2 linked regions of the Elephas maximus indicus genome follow. The protein of the gene in region 1 purifies or fractionates together with the protein of each later gene. This does not show direct contact. Links are inferred from orthologs where the notes say so. Each region holds a gene or a part of one and is shown on either strand. Other genes may lie near its edges.

Evidence for each region.
Region 2: the proteins of BRAF (region 1) and RPTOR purify together in Homo sapiens (affinity purification with mass spectrometry; 3 studies listed by BioGRID and IntAct, with this or other methods). This does not show direct contact. The link is inferred for Elephas maximus indicus from reciprocal best matches to the Homo sapiens genes BRAF and RPTOR.

Annotation. Positions count from the first base shown.
Region 1 is NC_064826.1:9,578,066-9,593,390, forward strand, and holds the start of BRAF (serine/threonine-protein kinase B-raf), read left to right. Parts: upstream 1-9,619; 5' UTR 9,620-9,666; coding exon 9,667-9,792; intron 9,793-15,325. UniProt on the Homo sapiens protein: Protein kinase involved in the transduction of mitogenic signals from the cell membrane to the nucleus. Phosphorylates MAP2K1, and thereby activates the MAP kinase signal transduction pathway. Phosphorylates PFKFB2.
Region 2 is NC_064837.1:70,452,352-70,467,792, reverse strand, and holds the start of RPTOR (regulatory-associated protein of mTOR), read right to left. Parts: upstream 7,909-15,441; 5' UTR 7,102-7,908; coding exon 6,940-7,101; intron 1-6,939. UniProt on the Homo sapiens protein: Component of the mechanistic target of rapamycin complex 1 (mTORC1), an evolutionarily conserved central nutrient sensor that stimulates anabolic reactions and macromolecule biosynthesis to promote cellular biomass generation and growth.

The sequences.
Region 1 (15,325 bases):
GAGAGTCAGTGAAAAAGAGAAAGACTCTCAGTGAGATGGATTGGCACAGTGGCTGTAACAACGGGCTCAAACATAACAACAACTGTGAGGATGACATGGGACCGGGCAGTGTGTTGTTCACTTGTACACAGGGTCACTATGAGTTGGAACTGACTGGAGGGCACCTAATGACAACAACAAAAGGGAGTGAAAATATATGGGATTAGGAATGAGAAAGGAGCTATAACCAGAGATACATGAGTGATTAAAAGAGTCATAAGAAAATACCACTGACATCTTTATGTCAATAAATCTGAAAACTGGGCATAAATAGATTATTTTCTTGCAATATATAAACAAAACTGATTCAAGAAAAATAAATGTGAATAGAGTAATTACCATAGGCTAGACTGGAAGAGGGTTAACCTCTAACATTGCACAATGCCCCAGAACAGGATGGGTTCCCAGCTGAGTCTCGGCTATTAAAAACATACCTAGAAAGCTCTCCATTTCGTTTTATGAAGTCAGACAACTTTAAATCTAAAGACAGTATTACAAAAGAGGAAACTGTAGACTCATTTGTGAGTATAGATGCACATTTCCAAATTTATGAATATGGATGTACAATTCCCAAGTTACACAGCTACGTAATACAGTAGTGCTCTTCTGAGGTGGTTCGAGTATAGGACATCTACCAATACAATCCATGAAATCAACAGATTTAAGGAGGAAAACTATATGATCATGTCTGTAAATGCTACATAATGTAATTATTAACATTTGCTAAGACAAGACATAAAACCCCATTGCCATCGAGTCGATTCCGACAAGACAGATGGTATAAATATTAGCAATAAAAGGAGATAAAACTCAAGACACGCTGGTTAAAAAAAAAAAAAAATGACTGGAATTAATAGGAGAATTTGATAGGATGAGTGAAGACACGATATTTATACAACAAAAGGGCTTTTCTCGATTATAATAAGCATCTAAAAAAGGAAATGAGGTAAAATATCCCTTTCATCACTGGAGAAAAGCATCTAAATTAAATAGAGATAAATCTGACAAGAAAGGCACAATTTAAACGAAGAAAAAATAACATCTTAGGACAGAAAGCAAACTCTGAAAAAAAGGAAAACATCCATATTCTTGGATGAGAGGATTAAAATAAAACAGTCAATTCTCCCCAAACTGATGCATAAATTTAATGAAATTCCAATTAGAACTCTAATGGGGTGGGGGTAGGAAATTGGAATTAAATAAAACGTCTTTAAAATTAGATGGAAACATAAATGACCGGGAATGGTAGAGTAAGCAGCGAAGGGAGACTTCCCAGATGCTGTTGTTGTTCGTTGCCATCGAGTCGGCTCTGACCCCTGGTGACCTTACCTACAACAGAATGAAGTGCTGCCTGGCCCTGCGCACCCGCACCGTCGTTGGCATGTTTGGGTCCATACTGAGTCCATATTGCAGCTATCGTGTCAGTCCATCTCACTGAGAGCTTCTCTCATTTTTGTTGGCCCTCCACTTTGCCAGGTTCGGTGCCACATATTACAACACACTAAAAAGATTTATCCGATATTAGAACTCGCTGGTAACTTATCATTATTGAACTCTATAAGATTAGACAAACATATCAATGAAATGGAATAAAAATCCAGAAAGAGATCTCAGTATTTATACATGGAAATTGACACGTGGTAGAAAGGTGGTAGTTTCAATCTCCTGGAAAAATATAAACTATTTAATAACAGGTGCTGGCACAACTAGCTATGTATTTAAAAGAAAATAAGCTTAGATCTCTATGTTATACCAGATAGAAAAATAAATTACAGATGGATAACAAATTTAAAAGTCAATCAGTCAAATAAACAAAAACCTTGGGGAAAACATGTACTTAATCTATAGGGAAGGGAGACTGGAAAGCCAGAAACTATAAAAGAAAAAATAGACATAAATGACTATATCTAATATTTACACTTTTGTACATATAAATATTGAATAGATATCATAAGCAAAATCAATAGAAGGTAGATTGAGAGAAAATATAATACAGCAGAGAGACATTAATAACTATAATATATAATAGTTATATATAATAAACTGAGACAAGAGAGCATAAAAGACTAAAAGAAAAGTGGTAAAAGATGTAAACAGATAATTCACAGAAGAGAAATTAAAATGACCAATAAACATATAAAAAGCACAGTAAACTCACCACAGGGTAATATAAATTAAAGTAACAATGAGATATCACTTTAAATCTATCAAAATTAGAAAGAGCAGTAATGTCTATTTTTGGCAGCAATGTGGGGAGAAGGAGATTTTCATACATGACCGGTGGAAATGGGGAGTATTAGAGCCTTTTTGGAAAACACTCTGGCCATATCTATTCAAATTACATTTACTTGTTACCCTTTTTCAAGCAAGGCCAGACCTGCTTTATATCATGAGGAGTAAAGCATCAAGAAGTAAGATTATACCTTTAAGGTTGTTTTCTTCAGTTTTGTTCATCATACAAAAAAACAAATAAATTAGAGCTTTACCAGTTGACTCTGAGGGATTACCACACGCATTACTGAGTTAGAAAAACAAGATTGCCTGTTGTAGTCAACTTGCTACCAAGTGGCCAACTGGTCTCCCCAATAAATGGTGCCGTATCCTCTGTAGCTGGCAGGTTGGATGTTCAGTGGTAGCAGGATCAAGAGCCACCTTGGAAAGTGGGAGCCCATGCTGTTGGGCTCATGCGTAACCTCAGTCTCTGCCATCATAGCCAATTCGACCATGCATCCATTGGCTAACTGCTGAGACGGCCTGGGGCAGGCTGGCTGACGTCAACAGGCAGAATCACTTTGTCTATTTGGTTGTTTAGTGCCTTATCCACGGTGGATGCACTCAGGTGGGTGTTAGCATTCGATAGGAAGATTTGCACACTCTATGTCAACTCTCGTATGTCTGTCCGCATGCCTCTACCCAAGACCTCCTCGTCTCTGACCTGTCAGCCCCTTTCCTTCTAGGCTCCGGATCATTGACCACGGCCCAGGAATCTGCATCTGTTTTCAACTTGGGCCACTGCTCCTTCCACACAGAGTAGACGACCAGTTGGACGACTCACAACCTTGCTTATTGAGAAGATCTTCCCTCTTCCATATTATTCAAGGCCACCCCTAAATGTGAATATAATGCAGCTGCACCCCATTCAGCTTGTACCTGTGTACCCAGCTGACATGCTGGTGACCCAAGCTTGAGTTTTCCTTCCTCCTTTAGCTCAGTTTACAGGACACCCCTCTCCCCTGCCCAATACAGCCACAGAACTTGTGCAATGTGGTCGGTGATGCGGGGGTCTCGGCTGCCTGTTCCTCCAGCTTCCTTAAGCCCTTGGGCCGTGCTCAGGTTTGATCCCAAATGTACCACTTCCACCTTATGATGGACGCTGCCTGGCCTGTGTGACTTTATGACATGGCAGGTCTGACAAAACCCGGAAAGGGCATTTCTGGACCCATAGCCCCTGGTTCCCCATCGTCCAGCGTTCTGTTTCTGTCAGGACCCAGTGATGCTCCAGAAAAGGTTTCTCAGGAGTGTCCTCTGCTGCAGATGACCTGGCCGTGCTCCAGAATGGCCTGTACTCTCTACTGGGGCTTGCCGTAAGCTCCCTACTGAACAGATTTAAGTTAAATCTGCCCTTTTTGCAGATTTACTTCCAGACCTGGGTACAAATGAGGGCTGTTATAACAGAGGCCAATCTCGATGATCCATGCTTTGCTATTCTGAGAATCACTCTGTTCAACGCTGGTTCATGGTTGTCGAATCACCTTACGAGGTGGTTCAAGCCATCATGCAAATAGGCTACTGGCAGGTGTGTCCCACCAGTCCTCCAAATTCACTTGATTCCGGAACACTGCTAGGACTTCAGCCTGGCCCTTGCCATAAGACAACACAACAGTCTCTGACAGGGGTGGCATAGCACCAAGTGCCAGGATGCCCGGGTGATTGATATCAGGCCATATGTGTGCAATGAGGCTACATCAACTGAAAACTCAGCAGCCATGGAAAGCAGCCTCTGATTATTTACGGGAGTTTACAAAAGGGATAGTTCCCAGGACAGGAAGCCGTATTGCCCATCCCCATGGGGCATGACTGTCACCCCTTTGAGCACAGCTGATATTCACAATGAGTAAAAGCCTGTCAATTTGTCACTGGTATTTCAAATACCAGCAGGGTCACCCATGGTGGACAGGCTTCAGTGGAGCTTTCAGACAAAGACAGACTAGGACGGAAGACCTGGCCAATATAAACCTTATGGATTGCAACAGGATATTGCCCAATCTAGTCAGAAGATGAGCTGCCCTGGATTGGAAGGCAACAATGAACTCAAACATATCAACAATCATGGAGATGGTGCAGGACCTGGCAACGTTTTCTTCTGCTGTACAGACTCAATGGCAACCAACAAAAACGCCATTCAACCAAGTGTGAACGGTGTCCCTGGAATCGTGTGCCCTGCACCCCAGGTATTCACTAGATCCACCACGGTCTTCCTCTGCCATGTCAGCTGCCCTTGGCCTTTGTTCACTGCCCTTGAACCTGTCTGAAGATCAGGAATGCTCATGCTGAGACCACCTCTCATGCTTCCCACGTGGAATGCAGCCTCTGCTGTGCCCAGAGCTGCTGTTTGCACAAGGCCAGAGTAGGGGTGGGTTCCATACAGGTGCGGGGACAAAGGCTCTCTCACTAAACCCAGGACACTTTTTTCACAGGTACTCAAGCCCAGACCTCACAGGGTCTGTCACCAAAGTGTCTCATGAGCTTCTCCTCTCCATTGGTTCTCAACACTGGGCCCCCTGCAACAAAAGGATCTACCTTTGCCGCAGAAATAAGCAGCTGTTATAGTTTTTTTTTTCATAGTTTAGTCTGTCTCAGTACATAGTATACGAACATCTCCATATTCTCTTTCCAACTCATCCAAAAAAAGACAAGGAAGCAAACATCTAAGCCAGAACACTTATTATCTGTGATTATTTTAATGGTGATTTTATTTATTTATATGGGGTGGGGGAGAGAGTTGGGTACTTGTTTTATACCTAGGTCCATTCTAGAAACAGATAATGGTTTATAATTTTTAATTAAAAAAAAAAACTTTAGGCTCCTAGGCATATTTAATATCTCCCAAACTACTTTCTTATGACCCATTTTCCCATGGAGAGTAATTAAATAAATCACATTCAAAGATGTGCAGTTACCTGTATGCTGAAAACTTGACAAGGCAATAGGTCTTCAGGAACAGAGAAAAAAAAGTTAGCTTCATGACAGCTCCCATCATTCTGCAAAGTTCCGTCTGGTGATGTCAGATTTCAAGGACAAGTTGTAGTGGTCTGGAAGTAATTGTTCTAGTTCTGCGTTGTCCACGATGTTCCCCAGTATTAAAGAAAACTTTAATGTTGTTTCCAGCTCACAAACACCTGGTAACAGGCATGTCACTTATGAGCGGAATAAACAAATGTCTTCAGACTTAGTAAAAACAAGTAAGTTCAAAAGGTGGAGGATCCTCCTCTCAGGTGCTCAGGTACTCGGGTCCTCAGCCACGTCGGTTATTGAAGCAAGAGACTTACTTTACTGTGTCGGCTTTACATTTAGCTTGTTCATTTTTAGCTAGAGCCCTCTCTATGCTTCCATGTAGGTTTGGGAGTTTTGACCTTGATCTCTATACTAAGAGACCTGTAATATCACGAAGCTGCGGTACGTACTTATCAAGACCCTGTAGACCAACAATTGTGACATTCCGCTTCTGGCTGAGCCCAGCCTGGTTGGCTGCCATGGCCACAGCCTCCTGCTGAGAACTTCTAAATGACAACATTGGCCTTGTCTTGTCGTCACCATTTCACAGCCTTTGGGCCCAGCCTCATCCAGAACCACTACGTGTCTCAGTAAGGTGAAATACAAAATGATAGACTATTCAGTCTTCTTGTTAAAGTCACAGCGTTCCTGGCTCCTTAATTTCCCAACATCTAACTGCTTACACTATTCTAGCAGTTAATAACCTTTCTTAGAGAGTGAATGGTTGTCCCATATGAAATCAGGGAGGGTAAGTTTATGTTCTTGCAAGAGAAGTTCTTATGTGAAAAGTGCCACCTGCAAAACCACACAGGAGAGACATGCTCATATATACACATGTTGTTGTAGTTATTGTTAGGTGCTGTCGAGTCGGTTCTGACTCATAGCGACCCTGTGTACAACAGAATGAAACACTGCCCAGTCCTGCACCATCCTAACAGTCCTTACTATGCTTAAGTACATTGTTGCAGCCACTGTGTCAATAATAAACCAAAAAACCAAACCCGTTGCCCCCGAGTCAGTTCTAACTCATAGGGACCCTATAGGTAGAACTGCCCCATAGGATTTCCAAGGCTGTAAATCTTTGTGGGAGCAGACTCCCACATCTTTCTCCCGTGGAGTAGCTGGCGGGTTTGAACCACCAATCTTTCAGTTAGCAGCCGAGCTCTTAACCACTGCACCACCAGGGCTCCATTCATACATGATAAAAAGCCTGAATAACTAGGATATTTGACCCCAAATGCTATTATTATGTTACTCTAATATACAAAATACATAATTGTGATCAACACATACTCCAGTAACCTAAAGTGGGTATTTATTTATTAAAACGTTAAATTAACAGTGGACTTCCGTGATCTAAAATTGAGTCATTGAAATAAAAGCAAAGAGAAGTTGATTATTGGTCATGGCAGATGCTGAAACTCGAACTTCAGATCCAAGAGGAAAAAAGATGGTGGAAGAAGTAGCCAACAAGTAAATTAATAAAAGAGTTTTAAAAGCAGGAAAATCCAGATTTTTCCTTCAGAGGATGGCACCAAATATGGAAAAGATGAGAAGGTGAAGAGAGATATATGTCCATTTACCAACCTGTTGTTGAAAAACTTCAGAAGCAGCTGAATTCAATCATTAAAAAAGATTACAGGGATCAACGCAAAGATTTTTGTTTTTTGCAACAGAGAATTAAATATGGAATTAGTATTTATCCTTAAATAAGGAAATCCAAAGGTGGTGCCACCCATCTTTGCAACAATAAAAACATGACAAACAAGGAAGGAGGTGCCACCAAGTGAGAAAAAAATCCAGGATGAGCAGCTGTTGGGCCAGCAGTGGGGCTTGCAGACCTTGGCTGGGACATGTCAAGTTATCATGACTGTGATATTCAGGGGTGGGCACTTAGCATAGTAGTTGGATACTGAAGGTTTAGGCCAGGTGGAGACGCCTAGACTGTTATACAGATCTAGGAGTCATCACTGCAGGTAACCATTACCTATGTGTCTTCTGACTGTGGTGGCTTGCATGTCACTATGATGCTGGAAGCTATGCCAATACTAGCAGTCACCCATGGTGCACAGATTTCAGCAGAGCTTCCAAACTAGGACAGACTAGGAAGAAAGACCTGGTGCTTTACTTCTGAAAATCAGCCAGTAAAAACCCTATGGAATATTGTCCAATATAGTGCTGGAAGATGAGTCCTCTAGGTTGGAAGGCGCTCAAAATACACACTGGTCACAACAATGGACAGGAGCATGCCAACAATCTTGAAGACAGCACAGGACTGGGCAATGGTTTGCTCCCTTGTATGTGGGGTTGCCATGAGTTAAAACCGACTCAACAGCAACTAAGAACAACGATTTCTCAACGTGGAGGAATAGTCATATTCTGATCAATCAATCAGCCTCACCCCAGAAGTAAGGATCAGCTCCTGGCTTCGTGGTGACCCTATCAATATGCAGGTATCGAGCTTCAGAAGTCAACAGGTTGGTTTTCTATCTCCTCAGTCATCTTGAACACATTAAGGAAGTCACTGGTGAACTCCCCCCTCGCAAAAAGTACAAAAAGGCAGAGTCCACTCAAGCTTCCTTTGACATCTTCTTCAATTATATGCTTAGGCTACTTCAGTGATTATTTGCACACCATCGAGAGCCCACAGTAACTTCTACTGTGTTTCTCACTCCTGTTTCTCCCTTTCTTAAAACATTTTTTAAAACTAATTGGTCCTCCTTTTTAAAAAAAAACATTATTGTGGCAAAATATATAACACATAAAATTAGCCATTTTAGTGTACAGTTCAATGACATTAGCTACTTTCGCTGTGCTGTGCAACCACTATTTGCAAACCTTTTTCATCATCTCCTTGGTAGCCATTAAGCAATACCTGCCCATTCCCCTCCCCCGTCCCCTGGTATCCAATAACCTGCTTTGGTCTCCATGCATCTGCCTGTTGTGGCTATGGACTCAAGCATGATAATGATTGTGAGGGTGACACAGGACCGGGCAATGTTTCCTTCTGTTGTATATGGGGTCGCTATGGATTAGAACCTACTCAACAGCACCTAGCAACAATAATAAGCTATTCCCTATAAGGGGGACCATGCAGTATTTGTCCTTTGGTGTTTGATTTTTTCCATTCAGCATGTTTTTTCCAAGGTTCATCCGGATCACAGCATGTAACAAAACTTCGTTTCTCTTAAAGGCTGAATAATATTCTTTTATATCGGATATACCACATTTTGTTCATCCACTCATCTGTTGATGGACACTTGGGTTGTTTTCACCTTTTGGCTCTTGTAAATAACGCTGCAATGAACACTGATGATCCCCCTTCCTTTTCAATAAAGGCACTTTTAGTAATGAATTGGACTTAACTGATTCCATTCTCTAGCTGGTCTTCTCAACGGGATTTTACCTCTTCCCTCCCAGATGTTTTCACAACAATTGGCACAGACTGCCTTAGTATATATTCTGTTCATAACAGGCACAAAAGCACAGAAAATACTTTGAATGATTTTCTTCAAAATAAAAATGATTAAAGCTTTCATGCTTCAGATGTCCACGTGTCGCACAGGCCCCAGCACATGGAAAGTGCCCAACTGATGAGTGTTAAATGAACGAACCTGGAAAATGAAAAATACACAAAAGGAAAACGTTTTATTCCTCAAAGATGAAAAAAAAAATGTTTAGACTTCCATTTAGCTCCAACTAACTGGTCAAATCCTTTTATCAAAAGGGTCCAAGCGCCATACTGATTATTTAGCTGTTTCTAAACACATTTCTATCGAATTCTGCCCGGCTGACTCAGCCTCGGGCTTTACAATCTTTTTTATTTTTATAACCCGGAGCCTTCCTTCCGTTGTAATGGAAACAAGCCCAGTCGCAAGGGCTTTCCCGGCGCCCTCCCCGCAGGACTCGGGCGCCTTCTCCTGCAAAGCCAGCCCTGCTCTCCGGCAGGAGCCCACATTCCACAGCAGGCTGCCGGCGGAGACGACCCGCCCCAGGCGGAAGCCGCAGCCATGGGAACCGCGAGCGCAGGAAGCCGGAGCGCGAGGGCGGAGAGCGGAGGAGCCGCCCCGCGACGGCGCGCCCGCGATGACGTCACGCCCGCGGGTGACGTCACGGCCGTGACACGCTCTGACGCCGTTGCCGCGGCGACTTCCCTCGTCTCCGCCCCCTCCCCGCCCCCCGCCGGCGTCCTTCCCCCATCCCCTCAGGCTCGGTCGCGCCGGGGCCGCGCGCGGGCGGGTACCTGCGGAGGCCCAGCGCCCCCCGCCCGGCCGGCCGGCGCCCCCGCCGCGCCCCGCGCCCCTCCGCCTCCCCGCCCCCCGGCCGCCGCGCTCGCCGGCGCTCGGCTGTAAGATGGCGGCGCTGAGCGGCGGCGGCGGCGCGGAGCAGGGCCCGGCGCTGTTCAACGGGGACATGGATCCCGAGGCGGGCGCCGGCGCTGCGGCCTCGTCGGCCGCCGACCCTGCCATCCCCGAGGAGGTGAGTGCGGCGCCGGCCGGCGCTGGGCTTGGCCCGGGAGAGGCGGCGGCGGGGCTGGCGCCCTCGGCCGCCTCGTCCCCGGCGCGGGGCTGCGGGCGGGCATCGCCGGGTGCCCGCGGCCCGGCCGCTCTCCGCGACGTCAACACCCAGGGCGGCCCGGGGCGCTTCCCTGGCCCCGGCCCAGCTCGGGGGGTTCGGGCGGCCGGGCCGAGCCGGAGGCTGTCGGCAGGGGGCGAGAGCCGGGCTGCCGGGAAGGTCACGCCTGGCGAGGTGGCCGGCCGCGTCGGTGAGGTGTTGTCGCGGTGGGGGGAGGGGGCTCGTGTGCGGCCGGGACCCCGGGCCGAGCGGCGGGACCCCGGGCCGAGCGGCGGGACCCCGGGCCGAGCGGCGCCTGTGGGCGGCTCTCGGTGGAGGGGGGATGACGGGGCGCCCGGCTCCCTGCCGGCTCGCCCGGCTGCCCCCAGCTCAGGCCGCTGCCCGCCCTCCCGCGTTCCTGCCCGCCCGGGGCTCTCTGCTCACCTCTTCTGCTCGGCGGGGGTGTTCACCTCGACTTTACTTTTTCAGCCCCAAGCCCCCCCCACCCCGTCCGCTGTGTTTTCCGTCTATGTCTCAGGCAGGCTGGTGACCCCCATCCCAGTGTCATCCGCCTCCCCGCTCGCTCTCCGCCGGCTGGGACCTGCCCGCCTCTAACCTCGGCTGCTACCTGAGTCCGTCTTCCACTTGTCTTACCTGAGCCCTCTGGAGGCGCTTGCCGCCGTTCCGCTGCTCCAGCACGTTACTGTCTTCTCCGGTCCTCTGGACACTTTGGAGCCACTTACTCTCCGGATCCCGGGCCCTGTCAAGATTCTTTCAAGTTTCCACACTTTGTCTGTTGTCACCCTTGCACTGCTGACACTTTGGGCTGGTTTTCCATTGTGCATTCCCCTCTTATTCCTGCCCATTTTCTGTTGACTTGATGATTTTTTTTTCCCCTATAGTCCTTTTCGTCCCAGTTTGCATTTTTCACTTTAGTCTGCTTAGTCCTTGCCTCTCTCAGCTTCTTTTTGCGTTATTCAGCCTCTCATCACCTTTTCAGATTAGCTTTATTTGCATGTCGCTTTTTATTACATAAAATTTATTGCATTTTGTATTTGGTGTTTTATTACATAAAGTAATATACTTTGTTTTACTTTACAAAAAATAAGAACGCATTGCCATCGAGATGATTCTGACTCGTAGTGGCCTTATAGGACAGAGTAGAACTGCCCAGTTGTATCCTAAAGAGCCCTGCTGGCACACTGGTTAAAGTGCTAGGCTGCCAAGCCAAAGGTCGTGGGGGGAACCCACCAGTGGCTCCTCAGGAGAAAGATGTGGCAGTCGGCTTCAGTAACGACTTACATCCTTGAAACCCTATGGTGCAGTTCTGCTTTGTCCTACAGGGTCGCTGTGAGTCAGAATCAACTCGACAGCAGTGGGTCATGGTTATGCTAGAATAACTGTGCTTTATAATTATTAATTTAATAATATGCCTTATTCTGTTGACTTTGCTCTAAGCTCTTTCCTTCCTACTGCTTATACCTTGTGCCCCAGTTCTCATAAAGTCTCATTCTTTCTTCTATTTTTCTTCTCTCTGTGCCGTTCTCTTTTTCCTGCTCCATTATCTTTACTCTGGAAAGTCATTTGATACGCTTGCTTTGTTCAGAATCATTTGCTTGCAATATTTGTTTTCCACTGTCTTACCCCACCTCCATCTATGCCCAAAATGTGTTCAATACCATTATTTGATTTAATCTAAATTTCTCAGGTTTTTCTCCCTTATTTCTTAATGTCATCAAGCCACACCACTTTCCACTTCCTTTCCAGTTTGCATTTCTGCTCAGGTCACTTTCCTCTAACATCTGCTCATTTCCCCCAACTGCTTGGATTCGAAGGATGGGGCTCTTTCCTTCTTTCATTTCCTCGTTTATTCTGTTGCCCTTGTCCCCGGTTCCCATGCGTTCTGCCTTATTTCCTGGCTTTTGGTACTGAACTTGCTGAAGCTTCCTCTTGTCTTCCCCATACCTCCACGTTCCTTTTTATTTATAAACAGCTTTGTTCCATTGACTTGGAAATGTATTTTTAGGATACATTGTTTTTAATGGGCAAATACTAGGGGTCACATCTGCTTTCTATTTTTTCCGTGGATCGGATATGCTTTTGTCTCACCAGGCACAGGTGCCTCTAGGCTTTGCTCTGAAGTATGTGTGGTTTTGTTGAATTGTAGTGTTGTTTGGAGACTATTACAGAGTGGAAGAATGGATAAATTATTGCATATGAGTTATGGAATTGTAATTCTCTGATTATAGTATTATTTACATTGGGAACTTGATTTCAGAGTCTATATTAGAACAATTTACAATGACAGAGAGAAGACATTTGTTAAAGTAAAATCTCTACTCTGTTATAGTAACTTGAAAGGGCCAGATTGTTTGGCGTTTAAGGGTTCCTGGACGCTGCTCCCTGAAGATTCTGAATCAGTCGGTGAGGGCTAGGGCCATGGGTTTCTGTATTTGGCAGACTTTCTAGGCAGTCCTCACTTACACCAATGCCTGAGAACCTCTGGGCCAGGTGAAGTTAGGTTCAAATTGCCAGTAGTTGGAAAGCATGCTCATATCTCCTGAAACTAAGGATACTCTTAATTTTAAGTAGTTAAAAGAGATGTGTTTCTCACTGCCCCTTTTACTCAGGTTTTGATGTTTAGTGATGAATAGTCAATTTTCCTCTGTTTTCTTACAAAGGCTGGTTATAAATGTATTTAAAAAAAAAAAAACAAAAAAAACCTTCTGGCATCGAGTTGATTCCGCCTCATAGTGACCCTCATAGGACAGGTTTGAACTGCCTCATGGAGCTTCCAAGGAGCGCCAGATGAATTCGAACTGCCGACCTTTTGGTTAACAGCTGTAGCACTTAACTACCACGCCACCAGGGTTTCCAGTAAATTTATTGGGGGAGGATAAATGATTAATTAACCTCCTTTGAATACATGTATCAGTGTTACAGCTGGTAGAATGCATTCCTCCAAGAAATCCTTTTAAATTTGGAGTCGATACTGCTAATTCATTGGAAGCCGAAATGTACTGTGATCTTTACATTGAACTGTCTTCCTTATATGCCCTTAAAGCCATATCTTACAATTGCCAAGTACTGAAAAGTAATGAAAAATCGTGCTTGTGTATAATGACATATTTTATTCTAAAGAAGTTACTTAGCTACCCCATGTCTAACAGAACGAAAGGTTGCCATTCCCACATCATCCTCACAATTGTTGTTATGCTCACCTTACCTGACAGTAAGATATAGGTGTTTTACAGAAAAGTTTCTCAGAGGGAGATTTCAGCAGCACTAATTTTTTTTTTCTAATTACAGAGGCAAAGCATGTTCATTATAGAAAAATTGAAAAGGTAAAACTAGAAAAATAAAGTTTAAAAATCATCCGTAAACGTGCCACTTAGATGTAACTACTATAAGCGTTTTGGTGAATACGCATCTACTTTTTAGGCATGTACAATACACTGTGTGTAGTTCCATAGTCGTTTTTAACCTGACTATATAACAAAGCTTTGTAAGTATTACTAATTACACTATGACTTATTTAAGTAATCCTTTTGGGGAGTATTAGGTTGTTTGTGTATTTTTACTGTGATCAAACATCTTGAACATAGAGTGTAGATTTTAGCTTTTAAAATTATGTTAGGAGTGAACAAATTTCATGTTTAACTTCGTAGATGCTCAAAATAGAATGTTCTGGTAAATGACAGGAGCTTATTAAACATTCATCAAATGAATATGCTTAAACTTTAGACAATAAACATTTACTTCTTACCATGGATATTTCTCTGATGTTACTTTCTGCCTGTGACCATATGGTATAAGATTACCAGAGTGTGATTTTTATTAAGTTGTTTTCTTTGGAAACCCTGGTGGTGTAGTGGTTAAGAGCTACGACTGCTGACCAGAAGGTCAGCAGTTCAAATCCACCAGGCACCCCTTGGAAACTCTGTGGGGCAAATTCTACTCTGTCCTGTAGGGTTGCTATGAGTCGGAATCAGCTCGACGGCAATGGGTTTTAGTCTTCTTAAATCGTGTTTCTAGAGAAGGGAGCCTCTCACAATTGCATTACAATTACATTATTTTCTGTTATCAGGATATCTCCAGTATTGGTTAAGCTGTGTAATTATAGTAATGCATTGTCTAGGGACTGTTCTGGCATGGAATCTCCCTTATAGCAAGGTCCTCTGTATTAAAACACACCCTCATGAGCCATGCCAAACCAGGCTGAATTGCACATGCCTCAGAGAAGTGGTGGTCCCACTAAAGTATGTACTCGTGCAGTTCCCGCTTTTTGCTATTAGTGTCGTCGTTACCGAAAAACAAACCCGTTTCCATCCAGTCGATTGGGACTCATAGCGACCCTGTAGAAAAGAGTGGAACTGCCCCCTAGGGTTTCCAAGGAGCGGCTGGTGGATTCCAACTGCTGACCTTTTGGTTAGTAGCCATAGCTCTTAACCACCCCACCACCAGGGTTTCCATTGTTGTTAGGTACTGTCAGATCGATTCCAACTCATAGCTACGGCATGACAGAGTAGAACTGGCCCAGAGGGTTTCCTAGGCTGTAATCTTTATAGGAGCAGATCTCCAGGTCTTTTCTTCTGTGGAGCTGCTGGGTGGGTTTGAACCTCGGACCTTTTGGTTAGCAGCCAAGTGCTTAACCACTGCACCACCAGGGCTCCTTTGCTGTTATTTGTCTAGGTGTATTTGAAGGTGAACAAAATGTGTCTTTTAGATTATAAACTATAAAAAAAGCTGTTATTCTTTGGTATTTCTGGTGGTCCCTCTCTGTACTCTTTCTCATTTAATGAACAAGAAACGAGTGTGAGACACTCACTCCTTTTATTTAGGAAATTACTGGCTATCGGTTACTTAACCTATGCTGGCTATAAAAGGAATCAATGCTCAATAAACAGGGAAGAAAGGAATGTCGGGACTGGGTGCTTGACTCCTTAAATGTAGTAAACTTGAGGGTGTGCTTGATTTAATTGTATTAAGGTAACAGGTTAGAAAAATTATATTAGGAGAACAGGCCAGAGAAATCTTTGACTTTTCTGTTTCCTGGTCTATACCTTGCTTTCCTGATGAGGAAAAATAGGAAGCTGATGGAGCTGTAGCAGCTGGAAACCTGGTCAAGTTCTTTAAGTAGTGGGAAGAGAGGGAAGAAGCAGGCTACATTGTTTCTTGTTTTGGTTTTGGGCATTTTCTAAGAGCTGATGCCTACTTTGTTGTAGTATAGAGTCCCTAATGAGGGGGTCTTCTTTTCACTTTGTCTCCAATTGTGGAGTTATTTTCTCCTTCAAATCTGCAGAAGTGCATTTGTTTTCTTTGACATACTGACATTAACTTAAAAACCCATTTCTGTCGAGTTCATTTTGACTTACAGTGACCCTATAGGACAGGGTAGAACTGCTCCGTGGGGTCTCCAAGGCTGTCATCTTGATGGAAGCAGACTGCCACATCTTTT
Region 2 (15,441 bases), on another chromosome or scaffold:
GTGGTGGTCTGCTTCCACAAAGACGACAGCCTTGAAAACCCTCTGGGGCAGTTCTTCTCTGTCCCACAGGCTCGCTGTGAGTCGGAATCAATCCGACAGCAACAGGTTTCTGTTTTCTTTTGTTTGTTTACATATTAAAATAACACACTTCTATGAAAAAATAACTGTTTTTTTAAAACGTTAATGAGAAGGGCAGCACCATTTTACATTTTTGCAAATCTCTTTAATGTCTGACTTAATGTCAGCTGGAGTCTCATATCTGCCTCTGCATTCGAGCTGCTGAGAGATGTTGCTGAGGTTAAAGTTCATGAAGAAAGCCTGACACAGACACGCAGTTAGAAAAGGAGGAGTATCAGAATATTCAGATAACTGTGAACATCCTTCTCTGATATTACATCACAACACAACAGTTTAGTTTTGCAGCAGTCTATCTGAATAGATTATAGAATGGAATATTAACCTATCTGAAACCATGTCAATGAACTTTACAAAACCTGTTAGGTTAAAATCCATTGATCTAACCCTGAATGGGAGTTGGGATCAACTGGACGGCAGTATCATGGATTGTAATATCATGGACTATAGTATCACAGGTTATAATATCACGGCCTGGCCATTGGGTAATCTTGGTCCACTGAATCATGCATATGTTCCAAATGTTGACATATTTCATTCTACGCTATCCAAAAAGAGTCACACTCATCAATACCACCATGCTCTCATAAGAAAAGTTTCTTAAGTATTGGGAAGCTGTCAAGTTCACAGTGGCAGAAACAAGTTTTCCAAAGCTCTAATTTTCACTTAAAAGCTCAGATTTTATCACTGGCACAAATGCTGTCAGCTGTTTTCCTTGAAGTGACAGGCTTGCTTCACTCACCATAAGGACAGCGTCTGGCAAACACCAGGTCTGAGCACTCAGAGACTCAGGCTGCCAGTCCTTCTTTCAAGTGGGACCATGGCTTCCAGAAAGCAGCAGCCAGTTCAGCTCGCAACCCACGAGCACATCCCCTCAAGATCCTGTCAGGCAGGGTATGCAGCAGACAGGCTTATGGCAGCGCCCCTCGTCATCACACAAAGTACTAAAAAGGCAGGTAGTAAGAGTCAAAATTTAATAGCAAGAATACTTTTTCCTCCTTCATCAAGGACATTCTCAAGCAGAACTGGGTTTGTTGTTGTTGTTACCGCGAAGGCACAGCAGTGGAGAAAACAGTTGCTGATACAGCCCGGTGCCGCTGCCTTGTTTCATACCAAGATGCCAGCAGCTCCACCGCCACCGTCTCTGCACCATCAGTGCAGGTGCCAACACATGGGAAAGGCCAGGAGCATCTCAGTACTGCTCCGAAGGTAGTTCTAACCTTGCAGACCGCTGAACGGCCTCAGGAAAGCCCAGGAGACCATGGAGTGTACGTGGAGACAGCTAAGCTACACCAGTAGCATTATTTTCAGTCTGCGTAACATTGGTCTACCGCCTGTTTTTGTATCCCAGTCCCCCCTCCCCACATTATCATCCTGGTCTATATGACCTCTCCATAGCCTGAATCTTCCGGCTGAGACACTGGCTGCAGTTTGTTTTCTCACCAGGCTTTGTTTCTCCAGCTCCACTTCCTTCCACTGTTCACCATGGAGCTCTCGGCAAGCTATTTGCATCAAACCCTAAGTTTCCTCACCAATACCGTTGGGACAATAATCCCTCCCCAATTTACAGCTCTGTTGAGCCTTAAGACAGATAACCAGTGTGAAAGCCCTATGTAAACTATTCGCCTTTTCAGGAATCCATTTTTGTCGACTATGGGCCAGGCACTGTCCTATGTACTAGCATCAACAAGCTCCATGATAGAAAGCTTACTTCTGGGGCAGGAGGTGTGGAGAAAAATATCAGAGAAATAAAGAGTGATCAAGAGTGACCCAGAAGCTGCTTTAGATCAGGTGACCAGGGAAGGCCTCTCTGAGGAAGTGACCAAGACACTGGGTGCAAACAACAAGAAAAAGGCATGTGTGCAAACATCAGACGGAAGAGCACTCCAGGTTTTTTATCCAAGAAGCAGAAAAGGCAGGTGGGCCAGATTACCAAGGGCTTTGTGGACCATGGTTAGGCGCGTACATTCTGCTGTACGCACTGAGGAAGCCAGTGGAGAAGGTCAGTAAGGAGGTAACGTAGCTGACTCCATTTTTAAAAGATCACCCTTATCACTGTGTGAAGAACTGACTATAAGGCAAGAGTGGACGTGGGGGGCCAGTTCGGACGCTCCTGTGGTCACCCAGACAAGCAGTGATGGTTGCCGGACTAGGGTTCCACGGAATGAAGTACTCCAAGATACGTTTTGGAGGTGAATTTGGTAGGTTCTACTGATGAGCTGGCACTTCTGGGTGGTGCAGATGGTTAATGTCCTCTGCTGTTAACCGAAAGGTTGGAGGTTCAAGGTCAGAGGCACCTCGGAAGAAAGGCCTGGACATCTACTTCCGAAAACTCAGCCATTGAAAACCCTATGGAGCATAGTTCTACTCTAACATACATAGGGCCGCCATGGGTCAGAGTCGACTTGAGAGCAGTTGGAACTGATGAATTGGCTGGGACGGGGAGAGGGAAAAGAAAGAATTCAGGATAACTTCTAGAGTTACAGCCTTAACAAGTGAGTGAGTAACGGTGACCACATGTTCTGATGGACACAGGGGTTTCCGGGACAGGTCAGAACTAAAGAGTCACTCACTGGATAGAGATGGCGTTTAAAACCCTGTGCCTTGGTGAGGCCAGCTAGGGAGGGGCCTATGTAGAAAAGAGAAAGGGGGATCATGATCAAGTCCTCGGGCACACCAACACTCAGGGGTCAAACAGCAGTGGGGGCAAAGAAGGAGGAATTAGTGACGTAAGAGGAAACCCCGGAGTTTCGTGACGACACGCAAGCGAGGAAAGGGCTTCTTGAAGGAGCAGGTGGTCAGCTGTGTGGAGTGCTGCTCAGAGGTCAGAAAAGATCAGGACAGAGAGTGACCTTCAGATTTCCCAAGGAATGATGGCCAGGTCAAGGAGCCCTGCTGGCGCACAGGTTAAGCACTCGGCTGCTAACGGAAAGATTGGCAGTTCAAACCCACTCACTGACTATGGGAAAAAGGCCTGGTGATCTGCTTCTGTAAAGATTACCCCGTTGCCATCAAGTCAATTCCAACTCATAGCAACCCTATGGGACAGAGTACAAATACCCTATGGGGTTTACAAGGCTGTGAATCTTTACGGAAGCAGGCTGCCACATCTTTCTCCCATGGAACAGCTGGTGGGTTCAAACCACTGACCTTTCAGTTAGCAGTCAAGCACTAAACCACTACACCACGAGGGCTCCTTTCCCACAACATTACAGCTTAGGAAACGCTTTAGGGCAGTTCTACTCTGTCCTACACAGTCACTACAACTCAGAATTGCGTGAATGACACACAACAACGTTCTTAAGTTAAGGAGCCCTAGTGGCGCAACAGTTAAGACTTGGCTGCTAACTGAAAAACTGGGAGTTCAAACCTACCCAGCAGCTCCGCGGGAGAAAGAACTGGTGATCTACTTCTGTAAAGATTACAGTCTAGGAAACCCTATGGGGCAGTTCTACTCTGTCACGGGGGTCACCGTGAGTCAAAATCCACTTAACGACACCTAATGACAACAATGACCATGTTGAGCAGTCTCACCAGAGTGGAGCAAGGCCTAACTGGAGAGAGTGAGGGTGAGGAAAGCAGAGGGGTAATGCATGATATACAGTGTTACTATTTACCCTCACTCACAGGACAGCCTAACCACTTCACTGGCCAGGTAGGAGTTCAATGCATCTACTCTGCTTCCTCTGTGACTAATTCAAAGCACGGCTACAAAGCAGTGCTACTAAGTGTAGAGACAGCCAGGGGTTAGGGAATGTGCTTCTTCATCGTTTCATAGTTACAGCTCACGCACACACAAAGATATCGTGTGTCTGTCCGAGAGTTTTATTTTAGAGCAATTGCATCAAGCTCTTCTGACTCCACTCCACATGCAAGGCCGCAGGGCAACAGAGCTGTCTGAGACAGCTGTCCCCACCTGCCCCACTTTCCAGTGGGAAAACGAACTGTGAAAACTACTAAGTATCACAGGAAAGTACAAATGGGGGAGATACGTACACACCTGTTTTAGCCAGAGGTATCTGAATGACTCATTCTAAACTGCAATTCATATGTAAGTCCAGTTACTAGAAAATTACAAGTCAAAAGCACTATTCATGAATATAAGTATCATTCACTCCACACTGGAGAATTAACCAAGCAACAAATTTGATAATAACGGTACTAAACTGACAGTAACTGAAGAATTAAACCAGAATAACAACGGCATTTAAAAACCAGGACCAATTAGAACAAAACTTTTGGGAATCCCTACGGGCCTGTGCCGTGGCCTTGGAAGGATGTGGAACGCTGAGTGGCAGGTAAACTTCTTAGAGTCTTCCATAAACTTTGGTAAAGAAGTAAACTTTAGGACTCCATAACAACTCCAGTAAATAGGCCACCGGTAAGTAATTATTAATATACACACAAATAAAAGTCTGTGGAGTTACACATCAATCGCGGGAAGAAACAAAGATCGGGTTTGCATTTTTGGAGTAGTCAGTGGCCCACTGGCAGAACTGGTCTACACAGTTCCTGGTGTACTGCAAGTGGCCACACAGGCTTTTCAACAACGCCGCCCCTTAGTGGCCTGGACGCCTGTATGCAGACTCAGAGAATCGGAGCAGCTGCCTGTAACTAACACGGAGTAGAAGTCACATTCAGGTAACCCACTGACTGAAGCTGGTCCCACAGATGGGTCTCTTTTATCTAAGTTCATTCCAATGTTTAAAAATTGGAAGACCTGACATTAAAATTTAAAAAAACCCTTCTAGGGAAGGGATGGAGGAGGAAAAGGAAGAGAGATGAAGAGAAAAAGGGAGAGAAAGACAGGGCGGAGGTCCAGCTGCCCCTTCAGATTCCACACGTGCTCGCCCTCCCCCCCCCCGCCCACTGGTCTCACCCACCAGAAAACCCACCAAACACTGAGTCAAATGTCAGCTGCCATTTATCTTTTTACCTTGTGCCGGTATCCTTCTTATGCCAAGCCTGCCTCACTCATGTTAGTTACCTTCCAACTCTCTGCATCTTTTGAGTCTTCAACCTTTGTCCTAGAAGAATGCACTGAGAAGGTCCCTCAGGGTCTGACGAGAGGAAAGAGACTCTGAGGACTTTTTAGGATGTCAAACTCTCACAAACATAACTAAAAGTGTTAGCTGTTGATTTTTATCTCCTTTAAACAACTGCCAATGTAAGAGACAATAAACTTTCTCCCCTGGCTCCGTTTTAAGTAGCAATCTCACTAGTTACTCAGCCTCACAGAACTTTTCTTTCCCTCATTAGGGAATGTCTATTGTTCACAAATTAACATTTTAATTAAAAGGTCAAACCAAAAACCAAACCAAACCCATTGCCATCGGGTTGATCCCCACTCACAGCGACTCTATAGGACAGAGCAGAACTGCCCCATAGCGTTTGCAAGGATCGGCTGGTAGATTCGAACTGCAGACCTTTTGGTTAGCAGCCAAGCTCTTACCCACTGCACCACCACTGCACAACCAGGGCTCTGTTGTGCCACCAGGGATCCTTAAAGATGTCCATAAGTCAGACTTTATACTACCTCTCCCAGTGACCATTTATTTCTCTTTTTAAGCTACTTTTGAGTGAAACTCATTTCCCTAGCCTTTTAAAAATAAGCCAAATCAATAAATGAAGCACTGGTTGCTACTGACTGGCTAGCTAGAATGATCATAAATGGAACCTTACACACATCACATACTAGAAAACAGTAATCGCCTATAAACATATAAAACCCAAACCAAGTGCCGTCGAGTCAATTCCGACTCATAACGACCCTACAGGACAGAGTAGAACTGCCCCGCTGAGTTTCCAAGGAGTGCCTGGTGGATTCAAACGGCCGATCTTCTGGTAATAGCAGCCGTAGCTCTTAATCACTACGCCGCCAGAGTTTAGTAAGTCACACCACATTGTAACACCAACTTCCCCTTTTCACACCTCCGAAATGCTCAAATAAATAAAGGCAGCCTTGAAGGAGAAAATAAATTACAAAAGGACAAATTACAAGTGTGCGTAGATGAGATGGCCCCACGGTTTTGCACTGAAGACCGAGAAGCTAATAACATTGTTGACTAACCACACTCAGCACAGTTGGCTTTCTTCTTTCCACCAGTTGCTTGTGAGTCACTGCCCACCCACGCTTCCAGCACCCGTGGGAGCCCCTAAAGCCTGGACCCAAGTCCCAACCCGTCATACCCTGACCCCACTATCGAAGAAAGTCTGTCTCCAAGTTACACCAACACGAAACCACATAAAAGGTGCAAAGTTTGGATTCAAGACAAATTGTTTAGAAGAGGATGATGAAACTCATTGCAACTTTAAAATAATTCTACATTAATGTGTTACTAGCTGAACACTTTCCAATAATCTTGTTGCCTAGCATACTGTAGGACATCAGACTTCATCCAACTTGGGGGGGCGGGGGGAGTGAACCAACCACGTGGGTGCAAGTATCAGCTTATATCCCTAGTTATCTTTCCTCAAAGTCTGAAAAGCACAAAGTATATCAAAGAGCATGCAAATACTTGCAATGCGAGATTTTCAAATCTGCTTCACTTTTATTATCTGAATGAGAACTTAGTTTAAATTGAATTAGCACTACCCGATGAATAATTACTAAAAGAGCCCTTCCCATTTTCAATTAAAAACTGGAGTCTGAGATGCGTTTTGCCTTTTAGTTGACTTGCAACATGTTGGGGGCGGGGGGGGGGGGGGCGGGGGGAAGGGTGCTTCCCCAAGGACACTCTTGCTCTGAACTTTCCTCATTGGAAAAACTACCAAGATCCAGGGGTGCCGTCTGAATCCACTTACCCGATCCTTCATCCTCCAGCTCTGAGCTAAGGATTTGGAGCCTTCAATCTTCTCACAGTGCCTCTTTTTCATAAAAGCCAAAGGCAGGTTCCAGTCTGTAAGGTCGGCCTCATCTTCCTCCCCAAGTCCCAGAAGAGGCGACTGCAGCATCTCGGACTCCATCAGGGGGGGAGGAGGCGGGGGAGTCCTTGGCAGCAAGCGCTCGAGAACCTCCAGCCTTAAAAACTAGTGTGCACCAGATTTGGTGAAATAATAGATGAAAAAGGGGAGTAGAAAAGGGAATGAATGGAGCGTGTGCGGAGACCCTTACTCGGGCAAAAAGTCTTAGATCTTATCTTGACCCCTGGGCGGGAAGTCGGAGGGGGTTGGGAAGAGCCGGGGGAAGATGGGGCAACCCAAGGAGCTCTGCACAGACTCGCTCACCCCCAGATCCCAAGCCACTGGCTGCTTCTGGGGCTGTCCGTTCCCAGAGGAGCTGCGAGCGAAGCTGTCAAAAGCGTGAGCGACTTCGGGCCTTAAGATGACCCTGCTCTCGGCCTCCAACGCCTCAGATCCGAGGACAGGCAGGCCGCCCGCTCTTGGGGCCGGTTCGCCGACGGGGCTGAGGTCTCCGGCCGAGGGGAGTAGGTTTAGGACGCCTCGGGTCTCCTCCAGCCACTCTCAGCCTTGCGGGTCCCGCACTCGCCTGAGCTGCTGCAAACAGAGCCAGGATCGGCCCATCGTGCTCGCCCGCGGCCGGTTCCTCAACCCCGCGTCCGCGCGGCCTGGCTGGCCCTGGCCCTCGGCCCCGTGACTCTCTCCTGCCTGACAACGAATCCTGAGAAACGGGCGGCACGGTCCCCCGGAGAAAACGAGTAATGTGGGCTTATTGGGTTTGGGGAGCTTTGCCGTCTCGTTTGGAGCTACAGTAAAACTCTTCTCATCAGCACATCAAGGAGGACGCCATATTGCCGAGACCCAGAATGCATCGCTACCTACGGCGTGGCTAAGAGACAAAACTTACTCAGAGCGTTCTCGCCGCGGTTCTCTGGATACGGGGAGGAAAGGGAACCCCCGCCCCCGTTACCTCGGTTACCACCCTTCAGCTTCTCTCGGTTTATCGCCTGTCGTTCAATAGATACGTGAATGACGCTAAAGTCAATCCTTGAGATGATACCGTACTAAATTTATTAATTTTTAAATTTATTATTACAAGTGGAGCTACATGCTCCTGAAATTAAAGGAATCGAACACCTTATTGTTTCCTCCAGATTTGATTTTGAAAATGCAGCAAAAGCTTCAAAAAGAACCATCATCAATATGACTAAAGAAAGTTAGCAAGTTTTTTGCATGTTGAATCCTGCACAACATTGAGCACTTTTTTTCCCTCAGAGGAAACCGACTGAATAAATAATTTCGTCGTCTCCAATTTTTTATTGTCCATTTCGTTTTCTGAGCAGTGTATTCAGATGTTGTAGCTTCAGTTGCAAACGACTAAAAGCTACGTAGATCAAGCCTTCTGCGTTACTTTATTTCTCGATTTCAATTCAGTAAACATTGCTTATTTACAAGGTGCAGAAACTGTGTTGGGCACAGCAGGGAATACACAACTAAAGGAATCAGGCAGGCAGCCCTGCCTTCAATAAACTGAGTGTCTACTGGGAGACACACTTCTAACCCTTAGGTTGAGCAGAGCAGGATGCACCCTGTCTTAGTCCAAAGAGGCCTCCACTTGTCTTCCTCTCTGCGTTTGGGCTTTGCAATCAGTCACATCTGCATTTCAATCTGGGCTGCATCACTTTCTGTGTGACCTTGGTCTATCTTTTAAATAGCTGAGTCTTTATTTTCCTCAATTATAAAACAGGGATAATAATACCCACTTTGAAGGACGAAATTAAATCACGAAGGTGCCTATGGTGAGCACTCAAAATGTTAGCAATGATCGGTCCATAGCCAGAGTGAAATCTAGCAGCCCTGCCTTATTAATCTATTACCTCAGGTTTGGCTCTTGCAGATAGCCTGTGCTTCAGTGTGGCTTCCCAGAGCTTTGACACAATGTGGCAGTCCACATCAAAATCCTGATGACATTCCATGTTCCTTTTAACATTGGAAGTACACACAAAGATGAATGGTGCAATCCCAGCTCTTTCTCATCCAACACAAAAAAAAAACCAAAATCATTGCCATTGAGTCCAAACTGACTCATAGCAACCCTATAGCACAGAGTAAAACTGCCCCATAGCGTTTCCAAGGAGCACCTGGTGGATTTGAACCACCAACATTTTGGTTAGCAGCTGTAGCTCTTAGCATTACACCAACACCAGCACACAGCAAGCATTTAATAAAAGTTCTTGGATTAAACCATTACCATTCTAGACATTCGTTTGATTATCGCATCCCACTGAGTTGAGTTCTCCCCTTAAAACTCAGGGCATTTTCACTAAAACACAGAAAAGGGCTAAAGCCTTCCTGAAAGGAACAAAGGAACTTCCCCTGCCTTGTCACCCTGCAGCAGACCCTGGGGAAGGCAAGCCCCATTCCCCCAACCACCCACCCACCCCTGGGCTGCAGATAACAACTCCACTGCGGGCAATGCTGTGGGAGAGTGTCAGCTTTTTTATTTTTTTCTGGAACATTCTATCGTGGTTTGGGTGAAAGTTTACAGGACAAATTAGCTTCCCATTTAACAATTTATACATGTTTTGTTTCATGACATTAGTTGCAATCCTCTTGATGTGACGGCACTCCATCCACTTCCTCCCTAGGTTCCCCATTTCCATTCACCCATCTTTCCTGCCCATTCCTGCCTTCTGAACTTTTTTGGTGAAAATGCTGCCCTTTTGGTCTCCTACGGTTGATTATCCTGAGGAGCACTTTCCTTACGGTTGTTATTGTTCACTTTATAGGCCTGTCCATTGTTTGGCTGAAAGGTGATCTCCGGGAGTGGGTTCAGTTCCAGGCTTGAAGGGGGTCTAAATGCCATAGTCTTGAGAGTCCCACCAATCTCTATCAAACCACTAAGTCTGGTCTTTTATATGAATTTGAATTTTGTTCTACATTTTTCTCCTATTCTGTCCAGAACCTTCTATTGCTATCCCTATCAGAGCAGTTGGTAGTGGTAACAGGGCACCATTTCGTTCCCCTGGTCTCAGGCTAGCGGAGGTTGTGGTTCATGTGGTCCATTAGTCCATTGGATCAATTGTTCCCTTGAGTCTTTGATTTTCTTCACTCTTCTTTGCTCCAGATGGGAAGAGACCAACAGTTGTATCTCAGATGGCTGGTCACAAGCTTTTAAGACCCCAGATATTACCTTGTCTTTACGGACTATGTTATGCCAATTGACCTAGATGTACCCTGAGACTATGGTCCTAAACCCTCAGCCCAGTGACTCAATCCCTCAAGGTGTTTGGTTATGGCTAAGAAGTTTTCATAACTGTGCCCACTGTGTGCACTAATATATTCATGGATATATATGCAGCACATACAAATGCGTATGTAGAAATATCCTCTGTCAAACTTATATATGCTCATAGGTGTACTCCCATACGCAATCCCACACCTGTTCAGCTTACATATCTACCAATGTATCCACTCATATATTACTGTTTGCTATTACTGTTATCTCAGGATCGTGTATGTATATAGTATTTCCTATTATTGCCTTTTACTCTTGTGTACCTCTCAGTGTCTTTCTTTGCCTTGGTCATGTTGTGCTGACTTCCCCAATATTGTGTATTGCCTTTCCCTTCATCCAAGTTATTATGTGTCTAGTATCTAGTTAGTGGTTTTCCTCTCCCCACCCCCCCAATCCCTGGTAAAGATCAAAGGATGTTTCTATCTGTGTGAAAATCTTTTCTTGACTTTTTATAATAGTGGTCTCATACAGTATTTGTGCTTTTGTGATTGACTTATTTCGCTCAGCATAATGTCCTCCAGGTTCATCTATACTGTGGAATGTTTCACGGAGTCATCATTATTCTTTAACATTGTGCGGTATTCCATTGCATGCAGGCACCATAGTTTGTTTATCCGTTCAGCCGTTGATAGGCACTTGGGTTGTTTTCATCTTTTTGCTGTTGTGAGCAATGCTGCAATGAAGATGGATGTGCATGTATTTATTTGTGTCACAGCTCTTATTTCTCTAGGATGCATACCTAGTAGTGGGATTGTTGGATCATACGGTATATCCATTTATAACTTTTTAAGGAAGCGTCACACCGTTTTCCACAGTGGTTGTACCATTTTACAGCTCCACCAGCGATGTATGAGAGTTCCAATCTTCCCACACCCTCGCCAACATTTGTCGTTTTCTGTTTTTTGTTGATGTTTGTTTGTGTTTTGATCATTGCCATTTTTGCCAGGGAAGATGATAACTCATTGTTAATTTGATTTGCATCTTTCTAATGGCTAATGGAAGCCCTGGTGACACAGTGGTTATGAGCTCAGCTGCTAACCAAAAGCTGAAAGTTCCTGTCCTCCAGCCACTCCTTAGAAACCCTATGGGGCCATTCTACTCTGTCCTATAAGGTCGCTATGAGTCAGAATTGACACCGCAGCAACAGGTTTTGTTTGGGTTTTTTTTTTTTTTTTTTTAGTGGCTAATGGTACCCTTGGTGGCACAGTGGTTATGAACTTGGCTGATAACCAAAAGGTCGGCAGTTCAAATCCACTAGCTACTCCTTGAAAGCCCTATGGGGTAGTTCTACTCTGTCCTATAGGGACACTGTGTCAGAATCTCCTGGAGGGCAATGGGTTTGGTTTTAGTTTAATGGCAAATGATCACAACCATCTCTTCATGCATTTGTTGGCTGCTTGAATGTCTTCTTTGGCCAAGTGTCTGTTTATGTACTTTGTCTACTTTTTAATTGGATTGTTTCTCTTTTTGTTGTTGAGGTGTTGAAGTTTCTATAAATTTTAAAGATCAGTCCCTTGTCAGATATGTCATTGCCAAAAATTTTTTTCCAGTCTGTAGGTTTTCTTTTTATTCTTTTGGAGAAATCTTTTGATGCACATAAGTGTTTAATTTTTAGGAGGTCCCAGTCATCTCATTAATCTTCTGCCATCTGTGCATTTTTAGTTATGTTTGACAGTCTATTTGTGCCATAAATTAGGGCCCCTAGGTTTGATCCTATTTTTCTTCCATAATCTTTATAGTTTCAGGTTTTATATTTAGGTCTTTGATCCATCTTGATGTGAGGTGTGGATCCTGTTTCATCTTTCTGCAAATGGATATCCAGCTGCACCAGTGCCATTTGTTAAAGAGCCTACCTCTTCCCTGTTTAATGGATTTTGGCTCTTTGTCAAAGGCCAGCTGTCTGTAGGTAGATGGATTTGTTTCTAGGTTCTCAATTCTGTTCCATTGGTCTATCTGTCTTCATTGTAGCAGTACCAGGCTCTTTTGACTACCATGGCTGTGTAATAGGTTCTGAGATCAGGAAGTGTGAGGCCTCCTACTTTTGGGGGCTCTTTCCTTTCCATATAAAGTTGATTAGTTTTATCATCTCTTTAAAGAATGTTGACGGAATCTAGATTGTGATTGCATTATATCTATGGATCGATTTGGGTAGTATTAGCATTTTCACAATGTTAAGTCTTCCAATCCACGACCATGGTATGTTCTTCCATTTACGTAGGTCTCTTTTGGTTTCTTGCAGTAGTGTTTTGTAGTTATTTTCCTATAAGTCTTTTACATCCCTGGTTAGGTTTATTCCTAAGTATTTTATCTTTTTTTTTGGAGGGGGGAACTATTGTAAATGGTATTGTTTTCCTGATTTCCTTTTTGGAATCTTCTTTGTATAGAGGACTCCAACTGATTTTTTGTATGTTGATCTTGTCCCCTGACACATTGCTGAAACCTCCTATTAGTTCCAGTAGCTTTCTTGTGGAATCCTTGGAATTTTCTACGTATAGGATCATGTTGTTGTTGTTGCTAGTTGCCGTCAAGTCGGTCCCGACTCATAGTGACCCTATGCTTGAGCTCATTGTTGCAGCCACTGTGTCAATCCACCTCGTTGAGGGTCTTCCTCTTTTACGCTGACCCTGTACTCTGCCAAGCATGATGTCCTTCTCCAGGGACTGATCCCTCCTGACAACATGTCCAAAGTATGTAAGATGCAGTCTCGCCATCCTTGCTTCTAAGGAGCATTCTGGCCGCACTTCTTCCAAGAAAGATTTGTTCGTTCTTTTGGCACTTTATGGTGTATTCAATATTCTTCGCCAACACCACAATTCAAAGGTGTCAACTCCTCCTCGGTCTTCCTTATTATTGTCCAGCTCTCACATGCATATGATGTGGTTGAAAATACCATGGCTTGGGTCAGGCTCACCTTAGTCTTCAGGGTGACATCTTTGCCCTTCAACACCTTGAAGAGGTTCTTTGCAGCAGATTTGCCCAATGCAATGCGTCTTTTGATTTCTTGACTGCTGCTTCCATGGCTGTTGATTGTGGATCCAAGTAAAATGAAATCCTCCACAACTTCAATCTTTTCTCCATTTATCATGATGTTGCTCATTGGTCCAGTTGTGAGGATTTTTGTTTTCTTTATGTTGAGGTGTAATCCACACTGAAGGCTGTGGTCTTTGACCTTCATTAGTAAGTGCTTCAAGTCCTCTTCACTTTCAGCAAGCAAGGTTGTGTCATCTGCATAACACACATTGTTAAAGAGTCTTCCTCCAATCCTGATGCCCTGTTCTTCTTCATATAGTCCAGCTTCTCATATTATTTGCTCAGCATACAGATTAAATAGGTATGGTGAAAGAATACAACCTTGACGCACACCTTTCCTGACTTTAAACCAATCAGTATCCCCTTGTTCTGTTCGAACAACTGCCTCTTGATCTATATAAAGGTTCCTCAGGAGCACAATTAAGTGTTCTGGAATTCCCATTCTTTGCAGCATTATCCATAGTTTGTTATGATCCACACAGTCAAATACCTTTGCATTGTCAATAAAACACAGGTAAACATCCTTCTGGTATTCTCTGCTTTTAGGCAGGATCCATCTGACATCAGCAATGATATCCCTGGTTCCACATCCTCTTCTGAAATTGGCCTGAATTTCTGGCAGTTCCCTGTCGATATACTGCTGCAGCTGCTTTTGAATGATCTTCAGCAAAATTTTGCTTGTGTGTGATATTAACGATATTGTTCTATAATTTCCACATTCGGTTGGATCACCTTTCTTGGGAATAGGCATAAGTATGGATCTCTTCCAGTCAGTTGGCCAGGAAGCTGTCTCCCATATTTCTTGGCATAGATGAGGGAGCACCTCCAGCGCTGCATCGGTTTGTTGAAAATCTCAACTGATATTCCATCAATTCCTGGAGCCTTGTTTTTCGCCAATGCCTTCAGAGCAGCTTGGACTTCCTCCTTCAGTACCATCGGTTCCTGATCACATGCCACCTCTTGAAATGGTTGAATATCGACTAATTCTTTTTGGTATAATGACTCTGTGTATTCCTTCCATCTTCTTTTGATGCTTCCTACGTTGTTTAATATTTTCCCCATGGAATCCTTCACTATTGCAACTCGAGGCTTGAATTTTTTGTTCAATTCTTTCAGCTTGAGAAACGCTGAGCATGTTCTTCCCTTTTGGTTTTCCATCTCCAGCTCTTTGCACATGTTATTGTAATACTTTACTTTGTCTTCTGGAGAGGCCCTTTGAAATCTTCTGTTCAGTTCTTTTACTTCATCAATTCTTCCTTTTGCTTCAGCTGCTCGATGTTTGAAAGCAAGTTTCAGAGTCTCCTCTGACATCCATCTTTTCTGTCTTTTCAGTGACCGCCTGCTTTCTTCATGGATGATGTCCTTGATGTCATTCCACAACTCATCTGGTCTTTGGTCACTAGTGTTCACTGCATCAAATCTATGCTTCAGATGGTTTCTAAATTCAGGTGGGATATACTCAAGATCATATTTTGGCTCTCGTGGACTTGCTATGATTTTCTTCAGTTTCAGCTTGAACTTGCATATGAGCAATCGATGGTCTGTTCCACAGTCGGCCCCTAGCCTTGTTCTGTCTGATGATATTGAGCTTTTCCATCGTCTTTTTCCACAGATGTAGTCAATTTGATTTCTGTGTGTTCCATCTGGCGAGGTCCATGTGTATAGTCACAGCTTATGTTGGTGAAAGAAGGTATTTGCAATGAAGAAATCGTTGGTCTTGCAAAATTCCATCATTCGCCCTCCAGCATTGTTTCTGTCACCAAGGCCATATTTTCCAACTATTGATCCTTCTTCTTTGTTTCCCACTTTCGCATTCCAATCACCAGTAATTATCAATGCATCTTGATTGCATGTTCGATCAATTTCAGACTGCAGCAGCTAATAAGAATCTATTTCTTCATCTTTAGCCCTAGTAGTTGGTGCGTAAATGTCAGTTGGTACATGTCTGTCAGTTTGTCGTACTGTGGGGGCTTGTGTGTCGCTGTGATGCTGGAAGCTATGCCACTAGATTTCAGATACCAGCAGGGTCACCCATGGAGGACAGGTTTCAGCTGAGCTTTCAGACTAAGACAGACTAG